2 linked regions of the Saccharomyces cerevisiae S288C genome follow. Changing the gene in region 2 together with the main gene of any one other region gives a genetic interaction. Each region holds a gene or a part of one and is shown on either strand. Other genes may lie near its edges.

The links.
Region 1: mutations in BUD22 (region 2) and EFG1 are lethal when combined (synthetic lethality), as found in Saccharomyces cerevisiae (one study listed by BioGRID).

Annotation. Positions count from the first base shown.
Region 1 is NC_001139.9:1,037,229-1,040,264, reverse strand, and holds EFG1 (Efg1p), read left to right. Parts: upstream 1-1,763; coding exon 1,764-2,465; downstream 2,466-3,036. Other genes in the region: TAF1 (histone acetyltransferase), read left to right, coding at 1-370; YGR273C (uncharacterized protein), read left to right, coding at 1,026-1,550; SLH1 (RNA helicase), read right to left, coding at 2,571-3,036. UniProt on the Saccharomyces cerevisiae protein: Involved in rRNA processing. Required growth at elevated temperatures, resistance to hydroxyurea and for cell cycle progression.
Region 2 is NC_001145.3:297,278-300,927, reverse strand, and holds BUD22 (Bud22p), read right to left. Parts: upstream 2,061-3,650; coding exon 501-2,060; downstream 1-500. Other genes in the region: ERG5 (C-22 sterol desaturase), read left to right, coding at 1-59. UniProt on the Saccharomyces cerevisiae protein: Involved in positioning the proximal bud pole signal.

The DNA.
Region 1 (3,036 bases), on a different chromosome or scaffold from region 2:
TATAAAAATCAAAGAACAGGATAAAGAAGATGTTAACAAATTGTTAGAGGAGGACACTTCAAAGATAAATAACTTGGAAGAACTTGAGAAACAGAAAAAACTGTTGCAACTAGAATTAGCTAATTTGGAAAAATCACAGCAACGTAGAGCAGCAAGGCAAAATTCGAAGAGAAATGGTGGTGCCACGAGAACAGAAAACTCTGTGGATAATGGTAGCGACCTTGCCGGTGTAACTGACGGGAAAGCAGCCAGGAATAAAGGTAAGAACACTACAAGGAGATGTGCTACATGCGGACAAATCGGGCACATTAGAACAAATAAATCTTGTCCAATGTATAGCAGTAAAGATAACCCTGCTTCACCAAAGTAGATTCAGTATAACGATGTATTGATCGAATAAAACTTTTGTAAAGGTTTTGTATAATGTAACAATAAAGAAATGTACACTATGTTTCTAAACACTGGCAGTGATCAGATTGATAATTTATTGAGTCATATCCTTAAACGATGGACGTGGTGTGTGAATGTGCACTTTTGCAGTAAGATGAAAAGTGCATATTATTTGAGTTCCATTAATATAGCCCAACTCACTGATTAAACACAATAATTGTTGTCTTTGTGCTCGAGTATTTAAAGCTTGTATTTTTCCAGTCTGATTGGAAATCACAGAGGTTAAAACATAAAGGACAATAGCAGAAAAGGTTCCCTAATATGCATTTTTCATACTGGTTGCTCTTTTCCTTTACAAAAGCAAATTCTTACTCAAAATTTAATCTTTTTCCCTATAGTAACCTGTTTGTCTTGATAAATATAATATGATTTATGTAGTTTTATTACTATAATTATATCAAAATTTTAATTTGTGTCTATTTTTTCCTCAACTAAGTTACCTTTTTTCATTTATATGCATTTGTGACGCACTCAAAAGTGTGATGCTGTCGTCAATTTTATAATGTTAAGAATATTAAAGCAAAAGTTTCCTAAAGTAATATCTGAAGTGCTCTAAAATCATAGTTTATCAAAAAATGCAACATTTCGAAAGTTCAGATAAGATAGAAAAGGATGATGATACATCAAGAATTAAATTACGCTCTTCTTCTTTGGCCGCTCCAATCCTCGAGGCTGTTCAAGAAGCCCAGCCTTTTGAAGAAGCCACTTTCTCTAACTTACAGAAGATACATCCGTTAACAGAAAACTCAACTTGCAATGGTTATGTTATTTACGATAAAGATGGAAATTTGAAATCCATGAAGGATACATTTGGTAGGAATATAAAAACACCTGATATTTCAAATCCTACAAGAGCAAGAAATGAAAGGCCATTGGATACAATACGTGGATTTGAATACTCCATAACAAAAGATCCCCGCTGGTTGCAAGAGCTAGAAACATCTAAGTTGGGATTTAAACCTAGACCTGGATTTGCCGTCATTAATCAAGACTCACAGGCTTCAATAAATTTATCTCAACTGGAAGAAAAAGTTATGGAAAGCCAAAAAAAAAAGGAGAAAAGACACATATCACGGCTTTCTCGGTTACTCTGCAGATGAATATAAAGATAAGTACGCTAAGATTATAAAAAGTGCTTGAAGCTCAAAAATATGTATTCCTTTAATTTCTGCGGTACCCTATGCCGGAGCACTAAGAAAAACACATTCAAAAAAATTTTCATACTCATCTCATCTCTACAATTAAACAATACATAAAACAAATATCGTGACTTAGTTATTTTACTTATATCATTCAATAAACCTAATCAATCAATGGCTAAATTACAGAGGAAGAGAAGCAAGGCTCTTGGGTCATCTCTAGAGATGTCCCAGATAATGGATGCAGGAACAAACAAAATTAAAAGAAGAATAAGAGATTTAGAGAGGTTATTAAAAAAGAAGAAAGATATACTTCCATCCACAGTAATAATAGAAAAGGAAAGAAATTTGCAAGCTTTACGGTTGGAATTGCAGAATAATGAACTCAAGAATAAGATTAAAGCCAACGCTAAAAAATATCATATGGTGAGATTCTTTGAAAAAAAAAAAGCATTGAGAAAATATAACAGATTATTGAAGAAAATAAAAGAATCTGGCGCAGATGATAAAGATTTACAACAAAAGTTGAGAGCCACTAAAATTGAATTATGTTACGTGATAAATTTTCCCAAAACTGAAAAGTATATTGCACTATATCCGAATGATACACCATCTACAGACCCAAAGGGCGTAGAATTGACAAATCTTAGAAGAGAACAATTTCTTAAATTAGTAGCTGAAAGAATGGATGCGAACACCTTAAACGTATCTTTCGAAGAGATATTGAAGGGAAAGAAATTGGATGAAGATTCCATCGGATTAACATTATCACCTGATAAAGATCATGAGGATGGATCACAAGTATCACCTACACAGGATAGAAAAGAATTGGATCAAGTTGTGGGAGAAGATGAAAAGGATGACTTTTTTGAGTAAAAAAATTCTAAATGCGTTATGTAAGAAAATATATACGAAGATGTATACTAGATAGATTTCCACTGTTATCTTTCACAAAATAATTGTTGTTTTAATTGTGTCTCACTAAGAGATTAGTTTATGGACCATATCATAACGTAATCCTAAAGCGTCATTAATAAGGGAAAATTGCAATTCTTCGCCACGAATTTCTTCGGGAATAAATAGATCACAATGTATTATGACCTCTTTATTCATTTGTTTTGGTTGACACCTTTTAATCATCAGCAGTTCATCGCCTTTGTGTCCAATTAAAAACCATAGTTCTTTTTGTATCTTAGGGAATTTATCACAATATACTTCAAACCCATTATTATGCTTACTAGAAAGGTGCTTGCTATAAAATGTTAACACCTCGTTATTTTCCTGTTCTTCAAATTTCATGCCTTCTAAAACCGGTAATCTTTGGCAGACACTGACGAAACGTTTTTTCGTATCTTCGCTTTCTGTCATTCCAAAAGTTAGTTGATCAAAAACATTTAATAATTTCTTATATCCAAACCTTCCTATTTCCTCCAAGGTTAACAGCTTT
Region 2 (3,650 bases):
ATGATTTGTTACTGACTTTCAAAAAGAGAGACCCAATTACTGGAGAAGTCTTCGAATAATGGGGAAAAACAGAACTTTGTCCAGACAATAAATCATATTTACTTCATTAAGGGTTGGCGTTTTGAATACTTTTATTTTCTTCCCTTTCTCTTCATTTCAAATATAACTATTATATAGCAATCATATTTATTATTTAGATTTCTTTTATCATATTCAGGTTTTATAAACAATTTCATTTAGTTTTCTTCCATACGCTACAGCTAATGATCTGCTAAAGGTGCGACTTTACAAACAAATACTCACCCTGCCAGCTTTGGTTTCCTGAATTCTTTTTCGCATAACTAAGTTCCGTGAAGGCGAGCATGACAGCGGTAGATGATACAAAAGCTCAATAATTCAAATGCTATAACGGTACGATGTAAGATATACGCGTACATATATAAAATAGATGTGCTAATAGTTTTTATTATACATGAAGTTAGGAGATGAAGACGTTATGTTCAATCAAATTTGATCTTCTTACCTTCAAATTTAGCTTTTTGTAATTTTTCTTCAGCTAATCTTTTTGCAATCCAAGAAGGATGTTCTTCTCCAGTGGATGCACTTTCTTTTTCTTTCTTATTGTTCGTTTCAGTACGTCTGTCTTCGCGTTCCCTACTCCTAGAGGCCTCTAATGATGCTGCTTTAGCTTCACGCTTAGCTACTCTTGCTTCGTACTCGATTTGCCTCTGCTTTCTATCTTCCATTTCCTTTTCCAATTCCCTTTGAACGTGCTTGGCTTGTGAGCCGTATTTTTTTTCCCAAATCTTTCTTCTTGCCCTTTGCCCACGTCTGTTTTTCCTCTTTGGCTCGTTTGACATCTGCTCTCTGGCCGTACGGTCTTCTGCTGTGTCTCTCTTTTTCTTCTTTCCCTTAACATTTTTGTTGTCTTCATCGCTTTCCTCTTCAGTGTCATTTCCACTGTAATAACCAGCCATTAGTTCAGGTAAATTATGCAATTTTGGTTTTTTTCTCCTTGGTTCATTCTCTTCAGAGTCGCTGAAGCGTTCGTCACTGTCATCCTCATCGGATGACGCTTCGCTAGGTTCTTCATCTGTTACTTCATTGTAATTGATATTAGGGTTCAAGTATCCGCCGCCTTCCCCTTCATCTCCTGAACTGCCTAGCATTCCCTCGTATTCCTTTATCAATAGATCCTCATTGTCGGACGTTGTTTCTTTATTGCTTTGAGTTTGTGCGCCGATCGCATTAGATTTGCTATCGATGGCATTCTTTTCATTGCCGTCATCGGTGTCATAGTCAATGTTGGAGTGCGTCTGATTAGCATTGGCCGTCTTCTCCCTTGCTCCATACTTCTTTGCTTTCATAGCGCTTACATCAAATCCAAATATGAGACAAATACTCAAATCGAATGATTCGGTTAGATTTTGAACGATTTTACTTTGACCAATTAGTGCGTTTAACTTTTCACAACTTGGCAGCTTCGTAATAACTTCATTCCATATATTGCTTGGGTTCCACTTACTTGTCTTATCATTGATATAACCACTATAATCATTGTTATTCAACCAAGTTTTATTATTCGTATCACCTTCAATCTTTTTGCTTTTTTGTTTGATCCTCTGGTGTAAGATTTTGATCAGCCTAAATCTTGTCATGAAGAGTGCTAAATCATCTAATGACAACTGCGTAGCAAGCATCTTTTCAATATCTATAGAGGGTGATTTATTTTTTTGAGCATCCTTCACTTTACTAGAATTTTTTTTGGATATTTTCTGAATTTGTTCTTTTATACATTTTGATAAATGCGTCTCGTAATAGTGAATCTTATTATTGAGTAACTTTGAGTAACTTTCATCTAGTTCTTTGTCCAAAGTTTTCAACTCTAAAGAGTTTAACAGTTTTTCAATTTTCTTTTTGTTCTTTTTACCTATACAATTGTATAATTTGGCAGTTTTTGGATATCTTGGTTCAAACTTCTGTAATGATTTTGTCAAATAATGGTACTGATACTCCAACTGATCAAGCTTGTAGATAGAGACGGATGATTCGGAAGGCATGTTTCCTTTGGGTTATCCGTACACTTGACCTCTTTATACGTATATACTGGTTAAATTGCTTAAAGTAGTCATTCATACACTAAATGCACACAGTGATGAGGTAGATGAGATGAAAATTTTTGCCATATGGGCCATGTAATGTCTGGGTGTTGCTTTAATCGATCACTAACAGATGAAAAAGGTAGAATGGATAAAATACTTAAAGAATTTTATATGGCTTGTGATCAGACTGACGTGCAAATCATTTGATGAGACGTTTTCTTCATTGATGTTCTCAAGAAAATATATAGCTCAAGAAGTTGTCATCACATCACAATTAGTTATAATTAACGCAAGAGAAAATTTACTCAAGTTAATATATTTGAACTCAAATATATTGAAGAGATTAGAGTCGTCCAAATAGTCAGCATTACAATGGTTCGCTTGACCCAATTTCTAAATTTGCTAAAAATATTAAAGCTCAGTACCACGCCCTGTCACAGGCGAAATATCATCAAAGTTAATCGATAAACATTCGAAAAACGCAGTTGACCGTCGTGAAATGTGGAAATCATCATAAACAATTTTTGAAATTGGAGAAAAGTTAAAAACCTTGAAACAGTTTGTACGATCTCTCATCTCTCTCAGATAAATTTTCTAGTTTAAATTGCATCAGACACTAATTGCTCTTTTCAATCATGAAGATCAGACATATGCTTGTCTATTTGAGTAATTTGTTTCATCTTCTGCAGCATTGACGTCTCTAAGGTAGAAATTTTCTTTAAAAAACATGGAAGCAATACAGACACATCAACTGATGAACTAGTTATCTGTCGATTTTTTTCTATTTCCAAATTCTTTGCTAATCGAAAAGAATAATGTAAACAGCTTCAGAAAGGCATGAATGGTAATTTTAATAGTTGTGTCTTCACGAATGATCAGACTCGTCATCTATAAATATCTCATCATAAAAACCAATTCACATAATTATACGAAAATGAGAAAAAAATCCATTCTTCCCTATAGAAAATTCTGTTAGCCCTCAGAAAAACTTACAATGGATCAGTTGCGCGGGTTTTCTAGGCCCGCTAAAGCATTGTCACTCATTTGAAAGGATATTTGTTTCCCCCTCAGTGCCCAGTGCTGTGGATCCTCATTTCCATTGTATCAAATAGATCGAAAACATCAATCTACGGAAGAATAGCACTAAAAAACTACTGTTTTCTAAGCTTAAATGTATTCTTCCAATTTATGGAAATGTGTCAACTTTCTAGTATTTATTTTAAAGGTGTTTGCTAGGTCAGGATAGTGCAAAAACGTATCAACATATACTCGTTCAGCCAGTAATTCCAGCTTTTGTTTTTGTTATAATCATCATATGAACAAACACCTTTGAATAAATATGGAATAAAAAGAAAATTGAAATGGGTGTGGTAAATGAAAGGAGAGCAGAGAAATTGAAGAAATACTACTGTATTTCTATTTAGACTTTTCCTTTCAGTTTTTTCTTCTTTATTGCTAATTAAAAACCTCAGAAATAAGAATAAACGTTCTAATCACAAAAGATTCAGAAACTCTAGTTTGTAAAAATTTATTTTGGTCATCAAGGGA